3 linked regions of the Anolis sagrei genome follow. The protein of the gene in region 1 interacts with the protein of each later gene in a biochemical or structural test. Links are inferred from orthologs where the notes say so. Each region holds a gene or a part of one and is shown on either strand. Other genes may lie near its edges.

Evidence for each region.
Region 2: the proteins of ERBB4 (region 1) and NRG2 form a complex in vitro, tested with the Homo sapiens proteins (2 studies listed by BioGRID). The link is inferred for Anolis sagrei from reciprocal best matches to the Homo sapiens genes ERBB4 and NRG2.
Region 3: the proteins of ERBB4 (region 1) and SYK form a complex in vitro, tested with the Homo sapiens proteins (2 studies listed by BioGRID and IntAct, with this or other methods). The link is inferred for Anolis sagrei from reciprocal best matches to the Homo sapiens genes ERBB4 and SYK.

The regions. Positions count from the first base shown.
Region 1 is NC_090021.1:172,652,822-172,660,085, forward strand, and holds the start of ERBB4 (receptor tyrosine-protein kinase erbB-4), read right to left. Parts: upstream 3,020-7,264; 5' UTR 2,495-3,019; coding exon 2,428-2,494; intron 1-2,427. UniProt on the Homo sapiens protein: Tyrosine-protein kinase that plays an essential role as cell surface receptor for neuregulins and EGF family members and regulates development of the heart, the central nervous system and the mammary gland, gene transcription, cell proliferation, differentiation, migration and apoptosis.
Region 2 is NC_090024.1:137,080,419-137,088,358, reverse strand, and holds the start of NRG2 (pro-neuregulin-2, membrane-bound isoform), read right to left. Parts: upstream 3,005-7,940; 5' UTR 2,598-3,004; coding exon 2,060-2,597; intron 1-2,059. UniProt on the Homo sapiens protein: Direct ligand for ERBB3 and ERBB4 tyrosine kinase receptors. Concomitantly recruits ERBB1 and ERBB2 coreceptors, resulting in ligand-stimulated tyrosine phosphorylation and activation of the ERBB receptors.
Region 3 is NC_090022.1:235,006,301-235,013,438, forward strand, and holds the start of SYK (tyrosine-protein kinase SYK), read left to right. Parts: upstream 1-4,134; 5' UTR 4,135-4,235; intron 4,236-7,138. UniProt on the Homo sapiens protein: Non-receptor tyrosine kinase which mediates signal transduction downstream of a variety of transmembrane receptors including classical immunoreceptors like the B-cell receptor (BCR).

The sequences.
Region 1 (7,264 bases):
TGAATGGGAGGGAGGTAATAGTAAATGTGGTAGTAACCCCCCCCCCTTTCCCCATTTATATTCCGCGACGGCAACATCTTCCCTCCAGAGTTCAGCTTTCTTGAAAATATTTTGGGGAAAGGTATGAAATCTCCCGCGGCCATGCTGGGAAAGGAAAAGGAGTCTTGGGGGAGGGGGGAGAATGGGAAGAAGCTGGATCGGGCCCTCCCCGTGAGATTTCCAACACCAGCACCCCGTAAAAGACCTTCCTTCCGAGGGATCCCATCTGCCAAGCCCCGCGGCTCTTCACCGCCAACCGCCAAAGCCACAGGTGCCAAGCCATCCTTGGCACACAAAAAAGAAAGGGAGGAAAGACAGAGGCCCCTTCCACACAGCTATATGAAATGCATACTGAACTGAAATATATGGCAGTGTGGACTCAGGGCCTTTCCACGCAGCCCTCTATCCCAGAATATCAAAACAGGAAATCCCACATCATCTGACTGTGGACTCAGATCACGCAGCTCAAAGCAGAGATTGTGGGATGTGCTGCCTTGATATTCTGGGATACAAGACTGTGTGGAAGGGCCCAAGGTAGAAAAACCCACAATATCTACTTTGTACTGGAGTATCTGAGTCCTACTGCCATATAACCCGGTTCATAGCAGATAATTTTGGAATTTTATACAACTGCGTGGAAGGGACCTCAGATCACACAGTTCAAAGCAGATATTGGGGATTATCTGCCTTGATATTTTGGGTTATATGGCTGTGTGGAAGGGCCGGAGGCTGAGCACATGGGGCCATATAATATTAAGGCAGATAACCCACAATATTTGTTTTAAACTGGGCTCTCTGGGGCCCTTTCCACACAGCCATAGAGCCCAAAATATCAAGGCAGATAATCCCCAGATCCATTTATTGTCCAGCAGCATATTTCAAATGAGTTTATATTCTATTGTCGAAGGCTTTCATGGTGGGAATCACTGGGTTGTTGTAGGTTTTTTCGGGCTATATGGCCATGTTCGAGAGGCATTCTCTCCTGACGTTTCGCCTGCATCTATGGCAAGCATCCTCACTACCTCTGAGGATGCTTGCCATAGATGCAGGTGAAACGTCAGGAGAGAATGCCTCTAGAACTACCTCTGATGGCCATATAGCCCGAAAAAACCTACAACAACCCAGTGATTCCGGCCATGAAAGCCTTCGACAATAGAATATAAACTCATTTGAAATATGCTGCTGGACAATAAATAGATCTGGGGATTATCTGCCTTGATATTTTGGGTTCTATGGCTGTGTGGAAAGAGGCATTCTCTCCTGACGTTTCGCCTGCATCTATGGCAAGCATCCTCAGAGGTAGTGAGGATGCTTGCCATAGATGCAGGCGAAACGTCAGGAGAGAATGCCACTAGAACTACCTCTGGGGATGCTTGCCATAGATGCAGGCGAAACGTCAGGAAAGAATGCCTCTAGGACATGACCATATAGCCCAAAAAACCTACAACAACCCAATATCAAGGCAGATAACGCATAAGATTTGCTTTAAACTGGGCTCTCTGGTGCCTCTTTCCACACAGCCATAGAACCCAAAATATCAAGGCAGATAATCCCCAGATCCATTTATTGTCCGGCAGCATATTTCAAATGAGTTTATAAGCTTGAGAAAAGTATAGCCAGTATCCCTACTAATTGCATTGTGGCAATATACATTCTGGCCTCAAAGGTGATGGAGAATATCTCACTACCTCTGAGGATGCTTGCCAAAGTGCAGGCGAAACGTCAGGAGAGAATGCCTCTAGACCATGGCCATACATCCCGAAAAAACCTACAACAACCCAGTGATGGATAATGTCCATATGAGAAGAGGGGGTTCTTCAAACGTCTTAGTCCCAAGCCATTCAAGGCCCTTCCACATCGCCATATAACCCAGAATATCAAGGCAGACAATCCCCATTTATTGTCCAGCAGCATCTTTCAAATGAGTTTATATTCTTCCCAAAAGCCTGAGAAAAGTATAGCCAGTATCCCCTACTAATTGCATTATGGCAATATACATTCTGCCCTCAAAGGTGATGGAGAATGTTCATATGAGAAGAGGGGGCTCTTCAAACGTCCTAGTCCCAAGCCACTCAGGGACCTTCCACATAACCTAGAATATCAAGGCAGACAATCCCCAATATCCGCTTTTGATATTGGGTGGATCTGATTCTACACTGCCTTACAATCCAGCTCCAGGTGGATCTTATAAGGACACAGCTGTACAGCATCTCAATCATCGGGTTGGAAAGAGAGTCTTGCTGAGTTGGGGAAACATAATCAAGGGAGGGGAGGGGGAGACCAAGCCGGGCCACGCGCGAGCCGCAGGTCAAAGCCCTCGAAGGAGGCAACTTTGGGGGGAAAGGGACGCCAAGGAGAGAAGAAAACCGCTATACGGATGGGACGCACCTGACTGAGCGGCGCTGAGGGTCCCGGCGACGGCGAGGAAGCCGAGGAGGAGAAGGGACAGCTTCATCTTCGGAGAGAATAAGAAGAAGAAGAAGAAGGAGACGGCGAAGGAGCAGTAGCAGCAAGACCCCTCTCTTTCTCTCCCTCTGGATTGTATGTGTGCGCGTGCCTCCTCTCGCGCTTCCCCAGTTACATGTTCCAAGCGGGCGGCAGCGCGAGGACGCAGCAGCTCCCCTCAGGCGCCCAGGTGCCCTCTTTCCCACGCCCGGAAAGAACTCCCCAAAGTTGCCGCCGCAGTTCGAGGCGCGCGCCTCCGCCTCGCGCACTTCTCACCCAAGAGGCCCCCCGAGCTGAGGAGAGTTGTCGCGTCGTCGCTTGCCCCTGCTGCCTCCTCCCGCGGCTGACGGAGCGGGGAAAGCCTCCCAGCGCCAATGCCATGGGCTCCCAACCACTCCGGCGGCGGCGGCGGCGCAGATCAACCAGCCGCGTTCCCCTCTTTCTCTCTCTCACAAACACACACACACTCTTTCTCTCTCGCGCGCGCTCTCTCCCCTCCCCAAAATCCAACACAGCTGAGGAGGGGGAGGGACCCAACAGCCGTAGCCCCGCCCCTCTGGGCTTCTTCAAAGAGTAAGCCCCGCCCACTCCGCTCCTCCCCCTCCTCTCTGTTTGCAACCCGGGAAACACCTGTCACGGGCGCGCGCTCGAGCTGTGGCGCGCGGGTTCCCAGAAAGGGAAGAAGAAGAAGAGGAGGAGGGAGAGGCTCGTTTGCAAGGCTGGCTTTTTCTTAGGTGTTGGAATGATTTTGAGGAGAAATCTGTGGACTGGAATCAGTTCGGGATGCATTGCCTTTGGAAGGGGGAGAAATGCAGCAGCAGCCGAAAGGAAGGAATCCACCCAAGCGCCTGATGCTGGCTCAGGTCCCTTCAGACCCAAGCTTCCCTCCGCCTTCCTTCCCAGGGATTCGACCATATTCCATCGCCAACTTTCTCCTTCGGAGAGATAAACGCACTCCTCTCTCCAGGACCTACCATTCCCTTTCGAGAGCATCATCCCTTCCTCCTTCTGCTGATTGCTATTTGCTGCCTTCGATCCCAACTTCTGGAGAACCACAGCGCTTTCCTTTTCGAGATGGAAAGGAAATAGGACTATAGTGTCTAGATCTAGGGAAGTCATGCTCTCCCTCTATTCCGCCTTGGTTAGACCACACCTGGAATATTGTGTCCTATTCTAGGCATCACAATTCAAGAGAGATATCGACAAACTGGAATGTGTCCAGAGGAGGGCGACTAAAATGATCAAGGGTCTGAGAACAATCCCTATGAGGGGCGGCTTAAAGAGCTGGGCATGTTTAGCTTTCAAAAGACTGGGACTTTGTGAGCTATCCAAGGGCATCCAGTAGACTTCCGTGTCTGAACAGGGACTTGAATCCTAGTCTTATGGTGTCTTCCTTCAGACTCTTGCATCATGGAGTCCTTGTGGACAACAAGTTAAACATGAGCCAACAATGTGATTTGGCAGCAAAAAAAGCCAATGGGATTTTGGCCTGCATCAATAGGAGCATAGTGTCTAGGTCCAGGGAAGTCATGCTACCCCTCTATTCTGCTTTGGTTAGACCACACCTGGAATATTGTGTCCAATTCTGGGCACCACAATTGAAGAGAGATATTGACAAGCTGGAGGGTGACTAAAATGATCAAGGGTCTGAGAACAAGCCCTATGAGGAGCGGCTTAAAGAGCTGGGCATGTTTAGCTTTCGGAAGACAGGGACTTTGTGAGCTATCCAAGGGCATCCAGTAGACTTCCGTGTCTGAACAGGGACTTGAATCCTAGTCTTATGGTGTCTTCCTTCAGACTTTTGCATCATGGAGTCCTCGTGGACAACAAGTTAAACATGAGCCAACAATGTGATGTGGCGGCAAAAAAAGCCAATGGGATTTTGGCCTGCATCAATAGGAGCATAGTGTCTAGATCTAGGGAAGTAATGCTACCCCTCTATTCTGCTTTGGTTAGACTACATCTGGAATATTGTGTCCAAATCTGGCCACCACAATTGAAGAGAGATATTGACAAGCTGGAGGGTGACTAAAATGATCAAGGGTCTGAGAACAAGCCCTATGAGGAGCGGCTTAAAGAGCTGGGCATGTTTAGCCTGAAGAAGAGAAGGCTGAGAGGAGATATAGCCATGTATAAATATGTGAGGGGAAGTCATAGGGAGGAGGGAGCAAGCTTGTTTTCTGCTGCCCTGGAAACTAGGACATGGAACAATGGCTTCAAACTACAAGAAAGGAGATTCCATCTGAACATGAGGAAGAACTTCCTGACTGTGAGAGCCGTTCAGCAGTGGAACTCTCTGCCCCAGAGTGTGGTGGAGGCTCCTTCTTTGGAAGCTTTTAAACTTTGTGAGCTGGATGGCCATCTGTCAGGGATGATTTGAATGCAATATTCCTGCTTCTTGGCAGGGGGTTGGACTGGATGGCCCATGAGGTCTCTTCCAACTCTTTGATTCTATGATAAGTAGGAATGGAATTCTGTGAGGGAACTTCCTTTTATTGCCCTGGGTTGACCACATGGTCTCCACCATTGTCTCTTCTGCCTTTTTTTCAGTAAGGGCTCATTTTGCCTCTCTCTTTAGGCAAAATCTAGATGCATGGATTTTTTTTTACTTTTTACCCTTTTAACTTCTTTAGAACACGAGACTTAGTAAGCTATCTAGAATGTATTTCTTTTACTTCAATAAATATCTTTTAACTCTGCAATCCTGAGCCCTTCTAAGGAATAGAAGCTTATCCCAGCTCATCACATCTAAGTTTCTGCTGGTTATGAAGTTTACTTCTGGTACTCTGCTATATTTATACTTACAAAAGTACCTGTTCCAACTTACAGACAAAGTGAACTTAAGAACAAACCTACAGAATGTACTTTGTTCGCAACTTGGGGACCTCCTATACTTCCTCTCTCACCCCTTCCCACAAAGAAATGGATAGAGTTCTCCCAGAAATAGGAAAGCCACAGCTTTGGGAATCATGCTTCCAGGCTATTTGTTTTTATATACATTTTATCCCATCTTTAAAGTCAGAATACGCAGGGCCCTTCCACACAGTAATATAAACCAGAATATCAAGGCAGAAAGTCTCACAATATCTGCTTTGAACTGGATTATCATGCAGATCCACCAGCCAAAGCAGATAAAAATACAAAGAGCTGCTATTTCAGCAAAGAAGAGAAAACAGCATGTATTACAGAGTAGTCATTTTCATCTACTTTCTTTATGGGTGGTTGTAGGTTTTTTCGGGCTATATGGCCATGTTCTAGAAGCATTCTCTCCTGACGTTTCGCCTGCATCTATGGCAAGCATCCTCAGAGGTAGTGAGGTCTGTTGGAAATAGGAAAATGGGTTTATATATCTGTGGAATGACCAGGGTGGGACAAAGAGCTCTCTGCTGAAGCTAGGTGTGAATGTTTCAGCTGACCACCTTGATTAGCATTTGATGGCCTGGCAGTGCCTGGGGAAATCTTTTGTTGAGAGGTGATTAGATGTGCCTGATTGTTTCCTCTCTGTTGTGCTGTTGTAATTTTTGAGTTTTTAAAATACTGGTAGCCAGATTTTGTTCATTTTCATGGTTTCCTCCTTTCTGTTGAAATTGTCCACATGCTTGTGGATTTCAATGGCTTCTCTGTGTAGTCTGACATGGTGGTTGTGAGAGTGGTCCAGCATTTCTGTGTTCTCAAATAAAATGCTGTGTCCAGGTTGGTCTGCTATGGCTGACTTCTCTGGTTGAGGTAGTCTGCAGTGCCTTTCATGTTCCTTGATTTGTGTTTGGGCAATGTTGCATTTGGTGGTCCCTATGTAGACTTGTCCACAGCTTTCTTTATGTTTTTGTGCATGGATATATCCATGTAGACCAAGATTCCAGAAGAGATGAGGCTCAACAGAAAGATGAGCTACACAGCTTTGGAAATGAAAACACTTCTAAACCCATCAGTAAGCATTTAGACCAAACCACAAGGCACCCTACTTTTGAGAAGACTCTCTACTCTGAGGAGTCCTGTTGTTACCATTGTAGGCCGCACTATCATCTTTTGGCATTAGGTGCCTCTTGTCTGTTCCAAATACACAGAGGAGGGCTTGGGAGATTCAATTCTCTTGAGGATCTCTAGGTGGCAACATTAACTACAGTTGGCTCTCAACATTTGCAGATTGGATTAATATGTTCTCTTTAGGAATTTCTAGGTCCTCAAGCCTGCTATATTTTGTTCTGCAGGGTGTACAAATAGTTCCCTCTCTACAAAGAAAGAGGATTTCTACTGTCTAATATGTGGGGGTTGGGAAAGAAGAGAAGGCTGAAAGAGAGGGGAAAAATCTCTGTTGAGCAAGGAAGAGTGGGATGTAGAGGATAAAACATATGGGAAGAGGTAACACATGTGGCAGGACTAAGCCTCTTGGTAGTACTTCCCAGCAGTCACAAAACTTAGTCTGGAGCAAATTTTTGTGTACATAGTCATACATTCTTCAAATAAACCTAATTTGGGAAGCTTCTGTGTTTTTTATCAGCTTGTTTGATTTTTTAAACGTTTTATGATGAATTTGGTTGTGGGAAAATTGAATTTGAAAAAAATTGTATGGAAGAGAAGAACATGATGAAAGGTGGATTGGAAAGCCATCATGGAAACTGTTGTGAAGGAATCATAGAATCAAAGAGTTGGAAGAGACCTCATGGGCCATCCAGTCCAACCCCCTGCCAAGAAGCAGGAATATTGCATTCAAATCACCCCTGACAGATGGCCATTCAGCCTCTGTCTAAAAGCTTCCAAATAAGGACCCTCCACCATACTC
Region 2 (7,940 bases), on another chromosome or scaffold:
CTATGATTCTAAGTCCAAAACAAGGATGGGAGAGGTCTTTACAGCAGGCATGGGCAAACTTGGACCCTCCATGTGTTTTGGACTTCAAGCCCCACAATTTCTAAATGCCTCAGGCCCTTTCCTTTTCTACCTCAGCCTGAGGCTATTAGAAATTGTGGGAGCTGAAGTTCAGCTGAGAGCTGTTCAACAGTGGAACTCTCTCTCTGCCTCGGAGTGTGATGGAGGCTCCTTCTATCTACTTTATCACACAAGAGCAGGCATAGGCAAACTTGGGCCCTTCGGGTGTTTTGGACTTCAACTCCCACCATTCCTAACAGCCTCAGGACCTTTCCTTTTCCCCCTCAACCTGAGTCTGTCAGAAATTGTGAGAGTTGAAGTTCAGCTGAGAGCTGTTCAACAGTGGAGCTCTCTTTCTGTCCCAGAGTGTGTTGGAGGATCTTTCTTTGGAAACTTTTAAGCAGAGGCTGGATGGCCATCTGTCATGGGTACTTTGAATGTGATTTTCCTGCTTCTTGGCAGGGGTTGGACTGGATGGCCCATGAGGTCTCTTCCAAATCTATCTAATTCATCACACTAGAGGAGGCATGGGCAAACTTGAGCCCTTCGGGTATTTTGGACTTCAAGCCCCAAAATTCCAAAAACCTCAGGCCCTTTCCTTTTCCACCTCAGCCTGAGACTTACAAATTGTGGGAGTTGTAATTCAGCTGAGAGCTGTTCAGCAGTGGAACTCTCTCTCTGCCCTGGAGTGTGTTGGAGGCTCCTTCTTTGGAGGCTTTGGGAGTGCTTTGAATGCGATTTTCCTGCTTCTTGGCAGAATGGGGCTGGCCTGGATGGCCCATGAGGTCTCTTCCAACTCTAGGATTCTAAGTTCAAAACAAGGATGGGGGAGGTCTTTACAGCAGGGCAAACTTGGACACTCCCTTCAGATGTTTTGGACTTCAATTCCCACCATTCCTAGCAGCTTCAGGCCCCTTCCTTTTTCCCCTCAGCCACTTAAGGGCCTGAGGCTGTTAGGAATGGTGGGAGTTGAAGTCCAAAACACCTGGAGCGGCTGAGGGGGAAAGGAAGGGGTTTGAGACTGTGAGGAGTGGTGAGAGTTGAAGTCCAAAACACCTGGAGCAGCTGAGGGGGGGAGGAAGAGGCCGGGGTTGTGAGGAATGGTGGGAGTTGAAGTCCCGAACACCTGGAGTGGCTGAGGGGAAAAAGGAAGGGGTCTGACTGTTAGGAATGGTGGGAGTTGGTCCAAAACACCTGGAGCAGCTGACGGGGGGGGGGAGAAAGGGGTCTGAGGCTGATAGGAATGGTGGGAGTTGAAATCCAAAAACACCTGGAGCAGCTGAGGGGGGAAAGGAAGGGGTCTGAGGCTGATAGGAATGGTGGGAGTTGGTCCAAAACACCTGGAGCGGCTGAGGGGTGGAAAGAAAAGGGCTGAGTCTGTTAGGAATGGTGGGTGTTGAAGTCCAAAACATTTGGAGTGGCTGAGGGGGGAAAGGAAGGGGTTTGAGGCTGTTAGGAATAGTGGGAATTGAAGTCCAAAACATTTGGAGTGGCTGAGGGGGAGAGGAAGGGGCCTGAAGCTGATAGGAATGGTGGGAGCTGAAGTCCAAAACACCTGGAGCGGCTGAGGGGGGAAAGGAAGGGCCCTGGGCTGTGAGGAATGGTGGGAGTTGAAGTCCAAAACACCTGGAGCGGCCGAAAGGGAAAAAGGGAAGGGGCTTGAGGCTGATAGGAATGGTGGGAGTTGAAGTCTCAAGCACCTGGAGCGGCTGAGGTAGAAAAGGAAGGGGCCTAAGGCTGTGAGGAATGGTGGGAGCTGAAGTCCAAAACACTTGGAGGATGGGCCCAAGTTGGCCCAGGCTTGCTGTATACAGGATATATGAACGGACTTGGGAAGGAATGGTGGAAGTTGAAGTCCAAAGCAACTGGCGCGGCTGTGGGGGGAAAGGAAGGGGCTTGAGGCTGATAGGAATGGTGGGAGTTGAAGTCCGGAACACCTGAAGGGCCCAATGCCCGCTTCCCAGCGCGGTGGCCCTGCCTTTGGGTCTGGAGCGGGACTCACCGCAGTCGGCGCAGAGGATGCGCCCGACGTCCTTCTTGAGGTTCTTGCCGCTGGTGTCGAGCGGCGCGAAGGAGGTGGTGAAGACGAGCGGCTGCTCGGTGGGCTCCAGGAAGAAGATGTAGCGGTGGTTGCGCTTGACGCGGAAGCAGGGCGCCGGCGTGGAGCCCACGCGGATGAGCTGCTCGCGCTGCAGGCCGCCGCTGTTGAGGGGCCACAGGTCCAGCACCTTCACCAGGATGCCCGGCGACGCCGACGAGGAGGAGGAAGTGGAGGGAGCGGAGGAAGCGGAGGAGGTGGCCTCCCAGTCGCGGCTCCCGTTGGCGGGGGCGAGGGTGGCGGGGCCGGGGCTGCCGGGCAGGGCGGTGGGCCCTCCGAGGACGGGTGGGGGCGGCGGGGGCGGCGGGGGCAGCGCCTGGACCTTGCCCTCCAGCACCACGGCGGCCGAGTACGCCTGGTCCTGCAAGGCGCGCGGGCTGGGCGAGTAGCAGGCGAGGGAAGCGCCGAGGAGGAGGAGCAGCATGGAGGGCAGGCGCCTCATGCCGAGATCCCCGGGCCCCGCTCCGCCCGCCGCCAAGGCGCCCACCGGCCCCGGCGCTCCCGGCAGCAGCAGCAGCAGGAGGAGATGCAGGCCTGGCGCCGCCTCCACCTCCTCCTCCTCCTCCTCCCTCGCCCCCTCCCTTCCTCCTCTAGCTGTTGCTGCGGCGGAGCCCGGGGAGGCTGATGCTGCGGATGCGGATGCTGCGGGTACTGCCGCTGCTGCTGCTGCTGCTGCACTGAAGCGCCGAGCCCCCCTCGCCCTCCGCCGCCGCCGCCGCCTCCTCGCCCTCCTCCGCCAGTCGGCAGCACCAGACCTGCCGCATCTGGCCAGGCCATTTGGGGGGCGACGCTCCCGCCACCGCCGGTGCTGCCGCTGCTGCCGCTGCCGACGAGGCTCCAGCTGCAAAACCGGAAGCGGCGTAAGCCCGGGACCCGCTCCCTCTCCCCGCCCGCGCGCGCACACGGCTTCCCCATGCGGGGGCTGCGGAAGACAGCCTTCCCTCCTTCCCTCCCAATGGCAGGGCCATAAAGGGAATCCCCTCCTCCTCCTCCAGGGACAGCCTCGCCAAGGATCGCCCCCTGGAAGCCCTGTTGGGGGAACCCCCAGCACACTCCTCTCACACTGGGCTTCCCTCTACTTCATGGCCCGGAGCTAGGCACCCCCTGGAAGGGCTCTCCCAGTTGCGCCTCCCATCAGAATGGCCATCAGACTGGGGGAAAATCCACTTATATCCCCATACAAAAAAAAAAAAAAGAGAAATGCTTAAGACTGCTCAAACTTCCCTATAGTTGCCCTTATTTCTCATGCCAGTTAAGGTAATGCTCAAGATCCTGCAAGGAAGACTCCAGCAATAGGTTGTTGTAGGTTTTTTCGGGCTATGTGGCCATATTCTAGAGGCATTCTCTCCTGACATTTCACCTGCATCTATGGCAAGCATCCTCAGACATAGTGAGGCCTGTTGGAACTAGGAAAGTGGGTTTATATATCTGTGGAATGACCAGAGTGGGACAAAGGACTCTTGTCTTCTGGAGCTAGGTGTGAATGTCTCAACTGACCACCTTGATTAGCATTTGATAACCTGGCACTCCAGCAATACATGGAGAGAGAGTTGCCAGAAGTACAAGCTGGGTTCAGAAAAGGCAGAGGAACGAGAGACCAAATTGCCAATATCCGTTGGATAATGGAGAAAGGCAGGGAGTTTCAGAAAAACATCTATTTCTGCTTCATTGACTATTCTAAAGCCTTTGACTGTGTGGATCATAATAAATTGTGGCAAGTTCTTGGTGGGATGGGCATACTAAGCCACCTTGTTTCTCTCTCCCCTGAGGAATCTGTATAAGGAACAAGTAGCAACCATTTCTCCTTCTTTTATTTTTATTTCCCCCACCCATGTCCCCATCATGGAAACAACTCTCCTTTATGATATGAGAAGGGGGAGAGGGAATAACCAGCAACAATGGAGAAAATGGTTTTCCTCTTTCAACTCCCCCCCCCCCCCACACACACACACACCAATAAAATCAAGAGAGTAAATAAAGAACACCATTCAGAAACGGGAATTCCAGACAGCAAACAACCAAGTGCCAGTTAACAAAACCCAAATAATTCCTCCAAGCACGACAACCAAGCTACCTCTATGCACATGCCTTCACTGATTGACTTTGCAGCTGCAGGGCTACTCGGGCTAATCACGCTTGCTAATTGCAACACTCACACTTGCTTCAAACAGACCCTGAACATTACAAAGACATATATATGCTCCACTTGCCTCACTATCAACAGAACCTCTGAAGATGCCAGCCACAGATGCAGGTGAAATATCAGGAGAGAATGCTACTGGAACATGGCCATACAGCTCGAAAAACTCACAGCAACCGATTACAACCATAAAAGCCTTCAAAAACGCAGTACCCCCATTTCATAACCTATATACCCAAGGTCACACACACACCCACATATATATGTATGTATATATGGACAGTTTAGAAAACCTTGATCTAGTCCACTGCTTCTTGAACTGTGGATCCTGACCCCAAATGTTAAGTCAGTGTTGGAGTCATGAAAAAATTGGCAACAGTAAAACCTTTCTGAATGCCATCTATCAATTGATCAAATTGTTATTATGGGCATAGACCAGCATAAGAATGCCAGCTAGATATTTACACAATTCTGTTAGCAACAAGGTTTACAGCGGACTTGCAGAAATTCAGATGTAGTTTCGCAAGGCTTGCAAACGCTGGTATATTATCAACAAATCTTTGATTTTTATAGCTATTTTATATAGATATGCAAGGGTTGCATCAACATTTCTCTTGTAAATCCTGGCCCATCTGACTTGCCACCCTGGGTAGATTGCAACACCAGACCTCTCATGGAAGACTGTTCCGCAGCCTGGAAGCAGTTCTCTCTCAATTCTTCACTAAATATGTCTGTGAAGTTGGGAACATTGAAAGAAAGCTGTCCGTCACAGATCTTAACACACAAGCTGGCTTGTATAAGGAGCAATGGTTTTTCAAATATTCTGGAGCCAAGTTGTGTAGGGCTTTAAAGGTCAAAGCCAGCACTTTGATATCTGCCTGGAAATGGGCCAGTCACCAATGAAGCTCTTTCAACAAAGAAGAGTCACAGAATTCCTGAATCCAATTGTTTGGAAAAGCCTCAAAATGTAGATCTTTAGATCTGTCACTCAGAATCTGAGCTGCAATAGATGCAGGATTTTATTGTATGGAGGTGGCAAACCAACTTAGAAGCGATACCTGTTACTGGTCTGTCATCTCCCCAAACAGAGCCATGCCCAACTATTGATGGGCAAAATCCATGAAAAGCCCCTGATCGCATCACCAATCCCTAAACTTACCTTATGCAATGAGGTCCAAATGCTTCTGTGACCTTAAGGGGCCTTTCTTACATGCCCTCTCAGTAATAATCAACTATTTTTTAATAATAATAATAATAATAATAATAATAATTAAAAAAAAATTAAAATGGGGGTGGGGGGAAATTTACAAAAAAGCAAAAAAGAAAAGAAAAGAAAAAGCCCTTACCAAAGACACATGTTGGGAATTTCCTTCCCAACATAAAGTCCAGTCATGGGATGAGGAAGTGCCAAAGCGGTATTTTTGCACAGTCACAGGTAGATGCAGTAATGAATCTGATCATCCCAGTAAGTTCCCAGGATAGTTCATTGCATTAGCGGCTTTGTGCAATAATGTCCTACAAGCTGCTTGGCATGTTGCTTTGCACCAGTTAACTTTTAAATGCACACAGTGGGTTCATGGTATCTGCTTAGGTTTGGTTCCAACAGGACCCCCACGGATGCAGAAATCCATGGATGCTCGAGCCTCATTATATGCAATGGCAGCATAAAATAGCACCCCTTATATAAAATGACAAATAAATAAATAAATAACACTATATTTGTATTTTGCCCTATCTCCCTGAGGGGACCCGGGGCAGATTCCAGCATATACAGACACAAGGCAAACATTCACAGATAAAGGTAAAGGCGGGGACGAGAGACAGGGCCTTCTCAGCAGTGGCCCCTCAGCTATAGAACACCCTCCCTAGGGATATCAGATCAGCCCCCTCCCTACGAACATTTTGAAAGAGAGTTAAAACCTGCAGGGATTTGCAGATGCAGTGTAACAGACCCACGGAACGATTGGACAATGCGACGGAAAAATGATTTTAGTGATGAGACGCTGAGGACTTGTGTTTTATGGTTTTCATTGTTCTACTGCTTTTTATATGATCTATATTATATCTTAATGTTTTTAACTACATTTTATGTTGTGAGAGGCATTGATTACCGACTGTAAACCACCTCGAGTCACTTTCGGGTTGAGAGAGGTGGTATATAAATATGGTAAATAAAATAAAATAAAATAAAGGCTTCCTCTCCAGCTCTGGAGGTGGTGCTCATCTCCATTTCTAAGCCGAAGAGCCTGCATTGTTCATAGATACCTCCTAGGTCATGTGGCTGGCATGACTGCGTGGAACACTGTTTATCTTCCCACCAAGGCAGTACCTATTGATCTACTCACATTTGCAAGTTTTCGAACTGCTAGGTTGGCAGGAGCTGGGGCTAACAGTGGGAGCTCACCCCGCCCTGCAGATTCAAACTGCCAACCTTCCGGTCAGCAAGTTCAACAGCTCAACAGTTTAACCCATTGCGCCACCACGGCCCCACATATATAGATTGGCCTTTTGGGTTTCTTTGTAATATTTTCAAGATTTGGATGTTTGAATCTGTGGATGAAGAAACCTCTTCACACAGTGAGTCACACTTGCAATAGCTATTGCAAGAGTAGTATTACAAGAATGTCATTCAAGGTTGGTACTGTACTTAGGCATAGAAAGGCAAGGCAATAGGTGATGGAGGTCAGAGATAAGAGCCTTCCAGCACTACTCTTCTTCCTGAGTCACCCTTCTTCCTGAGTCACATCTCTCTTAGGGGACAGACCTGCAGGTGCTGTAAAGCACGTCCTCTGTCTCCAAAAAGTCTGGCACCCTTAAATGGGATGGGAGTATACTAACCTGTTGCCTATAGGTGAAGTCAGAATCAAGATGTCATCTTCTCTTCTGCCAGTTGGGAGGAAGAGGACACAACAAGGGCAGATAAGCCACATGCCCCGACAAATCCCATTTGGACTACCATAGTAGTATGTCTGCGAAATGACATATTGTATCTTTACATCCTTTATTGGGAAAAAAATTGATGCAAAAGCAGTCTTTTGAATTCTTAGTGGCAATCCATTAGTGGCCACTTGGTACTGTATCTTGAGAAGTGTTTTTTAAATCTCCAAAATCTTATACTAAGAAAAAAAATCAATTATTGAGGTCTTAAAAGTGCTGCTGTCTTTGTTGGAAATAGCATCCTTATTCAAGCTTCCACTAGTAATATATTAAGCATATAATTCAGAATGCTTATTGTATTGTATATGTGTGAATTGGTATGCAGTTTTCCTCAACTCTATGTTGTGGGAGGGGCTGCAGACCATGTGACTGGATCTGGGACTGTTCAGATCTCAGACTCCAATTTAGAAACAATATGCTTTACAGAAGTCAGAAGAAACAGAATGGTTCAGAGATACCATTAGACTCTCAAACTGTACAGAGACTCTGTTAGACTCTCAGAACAGAAAGATGCTTTAGACCAGGGGTCCTTAAACTAAGGCCCGGGGGCCAGATACGACCCTCCAAGGTCATTTACCCAGCCCTCACTCAGGGTCAACCTAAGTCTGAAATGACTTGAAAGCACACAACAACAACAACAACAACAACAATCCTATCTCATCAGCCAAAAGCAGGCCCACACTTCACATTGAAATACTAATAAGTTTG
Region 3 (7,138 bases), on another chromosome or scaffold:
ATTGCCTACTTTACATTGATGTAGTCTGGTTATAAAATTATTTATGTGATTAGTTCATCTTTAAATTAGGTTTTACAATGCTAAGCTTTTTAGCTATGCACATTATTATTACTTACTTACTTTATTATTACTAAACGTTGTGAAAGCTGTTAGGACAAGGTCTTCCCCCAAAGAATTGGTAGAGCTACAATAGTCAGAATATAAAGTCTTATTATTAGTCTCCTCTGCAGGTTTATTTATTTTATTATTTATTTACTGTATTTATATCTGATCTGGCCACGGTCGTCAACACTCTGGTTACATCCCGAATAGTTTACTGCAACACACTCTACGTGAAGTTGCCTTTGAAGACTGTTCGGAAATTTCAACTAGTCCAACGGGTGGCAATCAGATTGCTCACTGGAGCACCATACAGGGAGCACATCACCCCCCTGCTATGTCAACTCCACTGGCTGCCGGTCCATTTCTGAGCACAATTTAAAATGCTGGTCTTCGCCTATAAAGCCCTATACGGCTCCGGCCCAGCTTACTTGTCCGAACATATCTCCCTCTATGTTCTGCCTCGTAGTTTAAGATCCACCGGCCTCGCAAACATGTCTGGTGGGGACAAGAGCCTTCTCTGTGGTGACCCCCTGCTTGTGGAATTTGCTCCCCAGCGAGATTATTGCAAATTTTCCATCTTCACTTATCTCACTGCACTATTGGCCAAAGGCTTGGCCCCTGAGCCATGTTTTTACTTGCTTTCTGAGGGAGGGAGGGTGCTGACCTGATTTCGCTGAGGAGGGAGTTCCATAGCCGAGGAGCCAACACAGAGAAGCCCTGTCTCTTGTCCCCACCAATTGCACCTGTGAAGGAGGTGGGACTGAGAGCAGGGCCTCCCCAGACAATCTTAATCTCAGGATGGTTCATAGAGGGAGATACGTTTGGACAGATAAGCTGGGTCAGAACATTTAGGGCTTTATAGGTTAAAGTCAACACTGTGAATTGTGCTCAGCAGCAAACTGGCAGCCAGTGGAGCTGACGTAGCAAGGGGGTTGTATGCTCCCTGTACACCACTTCAGTGAGAAATCTGGCTGCCACCCATTGGACCACTTGAAGCTTCTGAACAGTCTTTAAAAGCAACCATACATAGAGTGTATTACAGTAGCCTATTTGGGAGGTAACAATTTTTGACTTCTGCAATATCAGTTACTAGCAGTTAATCACAGTCTGAAATATTACACCACAAAAAGATGTTCTGAAGGTTTCTATTACTTAATAATAATAAGGGCGGCTTACATGGGGGCAAGCCCGAAACAAACATAGTTAAAATATAACACACTAAAATATAAAAACAACATAAAACAGAATAAAATAACATTATAGCAGCAACATTATAACAGCTATAAGAGCAATGATCAAACCAACAACCAATTAACCTACAATAATAAACAATTTTGCAGTGCTAAAATTTATTACAGCATATTATTTTAGTTATTCTATTTTATTATAGGTTATTGCTGTTATTATTGTTACCATGCCTATTTGTTAATTTAAATGTTATCATAGATATCCATATATTGGAATAAATATAGCATATATGGGGTTCAGCACTATTCACTTTTTCAGGTATCCACTAAATCTCTTGGATAAGTGGGAACTACTGTATGTGGAATTCCAAAACTTAGAGAGGGGCCAAACATTCAGAGATGTATAGCTCACAGTAGTATCATCTCAGTTTAGCTTCAGACAAAAAATTTTTTATAGAAATAAAGAAAGTGGTTCTACTGTATCTGCTTCCTATGACTATCTTCAATAGGAATCAAACAGTTGCATTCTGAATCAGGAAACACTTCCTAACCATTTTCAGCAACATGTACAGAACTTAGTAGCAGTCGGACTGAGAACTTTTTAAAAATTAAAGCGGTCTGTTATTAAAGGATAAAGTGTGGATATAATAAAGAAAATTAAATATATATTTGCAGGTAATAACCCCTTTGAGAGCCAGTGTATTGTAGTGTAGCAGTTTGAGTGACTCCAGAGATAAGGGTTGATTTCTTGTTTGGCCATAGAAATCCCCTGGGTGACTTCGGGTAGGTCACCCATTCTCAGCCCCAAAATGCCCTGTAATAGGGTCACTTTGGGTCACCACAAGTCAGGTAAGTCAGATATCTGCCTTATCTGCCTGCTCAAAAAATAAGGTCTGGGAAGGGGCCCCCCTTTTTGTCCCCCAGAAGGTCCACTTAGCAGGACCAGCTGGCAGTTCCCCTGTATATATTTAGTATACCATGGTAGTGCATTGTTTAATTTTAATTTACTGCTCATGGCTCAAAACAGCACATATATCAGCTCATCTATCTCAGAACAGTTTACATGGTGAATTATAACATTTTGAAATAATTAATGTGTCATTACATTACATTATTGAGACATATTTTCCATGAGAACTAACATTTGACTTTACGATGGCCTCTGACATCTTCAATGGCATGAGGGGCCTTAGGAGCTGGGTTCGGTCAGAGCCTGACTATCCCTGGCCCAATAGAAAAAAATCTGCCACACCGAGAGCAAATGCCAGGCAGAGCCATTATCATGGGAGGTGATGTTTAGTAAGGAACCAACACGATTTGGCAGAGAAAGCTAAAGGCTTGTAAAACTGCAACTTCCATGATTCCATGGCATTGAGCCATGATTGTTAAAATGATGTCAAACTGCATTAACAGTACAGTGAAAGAGCACTCCAAGAACCTACATAATCCTTTGCGATTTATGAGCATCCCTGTGCAAACAACTTGCCATGTTGTTTCTTTAGTGCGGAAGGTTTACAAGAGACTGAAAATCAATGCATTTGTTTTCTTTCATACTCTGAGATGGTAGGACTCAACCCAAAAAAGGGTACGTCTTCTTGACTATAATTTCAGTAGTCCCTCCATGTTTGCAGTTTTGAGTATTTTATTATTCATGAATTTGATAAAAATGTTCTCTTTTGAAACCTCTAGGTCCTCCATGGTGACTCTGTGGTCAACTTCCTTCAGTCATGCTGGAAAAGCTAGAAAAACGTAGAATGGCGCTATCCCAGGTTTAAAAAAAAATCTTTATTAGTATTTTTTCACTTTCATGGGATGCCCCTAACCCCATTGAATGTGGAGGAATGGTTCTAATCTTGTCGCATTGGAAAGACCGCAACATTTTAGATCAAGCATGGGCAAACTACTGCCCGAGGTCCATATGTGGCCCCCTGGGTGCTTACATCAGGCCCTCCTCATTTTCCCTGTCCTCTTCACATAAGGACATGGTGGTCCACTGCGTCATTCTGCCAAAAAGATGGGGAAGAAGGCACATAGCAGCTAAGAGTCCTCTGGAGTGCTCTCAGTCACTGTGTGTCTCACCCTCCTCCCGACATAAGAGCAGTGCAAGTGTTCTTATGCCAGGAGGACATCTTGAGGAAGGCACACGGTGGCTGAGAGCCTTCCAGAGTACACTCAGCCACTGCCTGTCCCACCCTCTTTCCCAGCACAATGCCAAGAGGACAGAGGATGAGGAGGAGGATCATTTCGGTCATTTGGTGTTCCATCTGTCTCCCAGACTAAGGATGGGATGAACAGCCCTGGGAGGACAACCTGAAGATGACCCAGGCACTGCCCTGCTCCCTTCTGGCCCTGCCCTTTCCCAGGCTCTTCCCATTTAGCATGTATCTGGCCCCTCCCTCCTGACCCGGTCCTCCTAGCCGGGCCCAAAATGCATCCCCAAGGCAAAAAAGTTTGCCCATGGCTGTTTTAGACAGTAGATTGTGATGGTGGATGAAATTCAAATGTCAAAAACTGTAATATTGTGTGGTCACTAGAGTATATCACCTAAGTTGCTCATGCTAAAAGGGCGAGGTTGGGTTAGGTATAGTAACGGGAAACATCTGTTTGTGGGTTGCCAATGAAATCTGTGCATTAGAGAGAGAAAAGGAAAAGAATGTTTGAAGAACCCTATAGGAAATACATTCTACACATGAATGATTTGTGTGTACAATGTTAAATTGCCGAAACCTGAATAGTATTTTAAGCTGTGGAAACAATTATTTACATTACAGACATAGCGAAATATAAAGATATGCATTTGGTTTCTCAGTCTCTCTGTGTCCCAAAGACTTTCTTCCCTGTATATCTCTCCTCCTTTTCTAGTCACTCTTACACAACATCAAAGGAAGAAACCGATCTAACCTGCTGGATGGGAGTTCTACATATTGAGAAACATGGAAATGACAGGTATGTAGATCTTACACAACCCACTCTTCATTTTCTTCCACACACCCCTTTCATAGGAGTGGCTGGGAATGCCCTGATACTCTGGGAATTCACTGTAGTTGACACAGAGATTCCAGACATATCAATATAATGTTATTCATTTCAGTTAGCGAACATCTACTAATTAACAAGGACAAAGATAAGCATTTAGTTAAGGAGGAATTAATAACTGAATCAGATTCCTTTTCCAGTTCTTTTTCTAAATAAATAAATAAAAGAAACAGCATCAACAGCACAGACAATGCCTTCCTGCAACCTTTTATAATAATATGGAAAAATAAATATTTCACCATATTTCATCTCTTATATCTGTTATCATACACCATGTATTCTTGCACGAAGATGTCACAAATGTGAAGATTGTATAGATTGTTAGGTTCTACCTTCCCCCCACAAAATAATTGCATATCTAAACAGAAAATAATAGAAAATTATCCAAAGATTATGAGAGTACAGAATTAGAGCTTACCTTTTCTAGGAAATGTGGGAATGGTGAAAAAGGCCAACCTACCACTCACTATCATTGTACATCATGTCTAGCTAACTGGACATCTGGAAAACAGTGTCCAATTCGATAAGCTGGAATGTGTCCAGAAGATCAAAATTCTGGAGAACAAGCCCTATGAGGAGTAGCTTAAAGACCTGGGTATGTTTAGCCTGCAGAAGACAAGTCTGAAAGGAGACATGATGAGGACCATGTATAAATATGTGAGGGGAAGTCATAGGGAGGAGGGGCAGGCTTGTTTTCTGTTTCCCTGGAGACTAGGATGCAGAACAATGGCTTCAAACTACAGCAGTGGTTCTTAACCTGTGGGCCATAAGGACGAAAATCTGGTCTGTGAGCCTCCTTCCTCTGTACTTATTTATTTATTTCCACTTTTTTTGCGCTGCCTGCCATTCCTTCCCTATTGCCAATCATGGCATATGTTCTGTATCAGAATCACAGAATCATAGAGATGGAAGAGACCTCATGGACCATCCAGTCCAACCCCCTGCCTAGAAGCAGGAATATTGCATTCAAAGCACCCCTGACAGATGGCCATCCAGCCTCTGTTTAAAAGCTTCCAAAGAAGGAGTCTCCACCACACACAGGAAAGGAGATTCCACCTGAACATGAGGAAGTACTTCCTAACTGTGAGAGCTGTTCAGCAGTGGAACTCTCTGCCCCAGAGTTGTGGTGGAGGATTCTTCTTTGGAGGCTTTTACACAGAGGCTGGATGTCTATTTGTTACTTACTTAGGCAATCCCTTGTTGTCCGAGTAAGATTGTCTTCCAAGATCAGTGGTGGGTACATAGATGGTGGTGGGTACATAAATGACTGTAGAGTCCTATTCTTGACCTGTATGTTCTACTGCAGTGAGGGCATTGGTTTGCAGGTTGAAGATGGTCCCGGTCGGGGTTGGCTTGATGCACCTTCCTCTTGGCACATTTCTCTCTTTCGTCCTCCATTCGTACCTTTTCAAATTCTGCAGCACTGCTGGTCACAGCTGACCTCCAGCTGGAGCACCCAAGGGCCAGGGCTTCCCAGTTCTCAGTGTCTATGCCAGAGTTTTTAAGGTTGGCTTTGAGCCCATCTTTAAATCTCTTTTCTTGTCCAACATTCCATTTTCCATTCTTGAGTTTGGAGTAGAGCAATTGCTTTGGGAGATGGTGGTCGGGAAGGTGTGGGAAAGTGCAATATGAGGGAAACAGTGTAGGTGAAACAACAGGACTGGAATATATGGTCACTCTCCAAAGGCACATCGGAAAAGCCAAGTCTTTAGATCTTTCTTAAAGGCTGCTAGAGTGGGGGCTTACCTAATCTCACCAGGTATCGAGTTTGAGTTCCATAGCCGAGTGGCCACAGCGGAGAAGGCTCTCTCCCTCGTTCCCCCAAGCCATGGCTGTGATAGAGGAAGAGGTGAGAGGAGGGCCTCCCTCGAGAATCGGAGGGAACGTGCAGGTTGTGGAAGGAGATGCGGTCACGAAGGCAGGCAGGTCCCAAACCGTTAGGGCTTTATAGGTGATAACCTGCACCTTGAATTGGGACTGGAAAATGAACGGCAGCCTATAGAGCTCCTTAAACACAGGGGTTGACCACTCCCTGTAATTCGCCCTAGTTAGTCTGGCTGCTGAATGTTAGACCAATTGAAGTTTCCGGGCTGTCTGGTCCATAGCCAGGATATCGGGTTTTTTTGGGGGGGGGGATAGGGGGGGGTTCGGGGGGCTGAGTTTCGGGGGGGGGGGCTGAGTCTGAGTGAAAGAGGGTCTACCCTAGAAAACCTTTTGTATCATTACCCCAATACCCCCATGCATATGGGATATATTGAGTATGGTGATCAGATCATGATATGAATAAACATAACAGTTTAAATAATGCACCAGTAAGGCCTTTTCGCAAACCACCATGAGAATTTGGGGGGGGGGGGCTGAAACCCCTCAAGCCCCCCCCCCCTCCCCCTGGCTACTGCCTGATTGCAGTAGTCCAGTCTAGAGGTAACTAAGGTGGGGACCACCATGGTTAGCGCCTTGGTATCTCTACGGATGCCCCGGATCTCAAACACTCTCTGCTTCATTTGGAAACATGCTGTACTTGCAGAGCTCAGGTGGTGTTGTATTTCAGTGTCTATGTTGACTTGTGTGGAGAGGTGGCTGCCAAGGTAGTGGAAATGGTCAACATTTTCTAATGTTAAACCATCAAGCTGTATTTCTGGCCTTGCAGAAGGATTGGGTGGTGACTGTCCATCTGTTGGGGGTGCTCTGAATCGATTGTGCTTTTCCTGCATAGCAGGAGATTGGACTGGATGGCCCATGTAGTATCTATGATTCTACCCTTGGGGTTGTCCCTGTGAGCCCCCAGAAAACTGAGGAAGGTGCAGACCCGA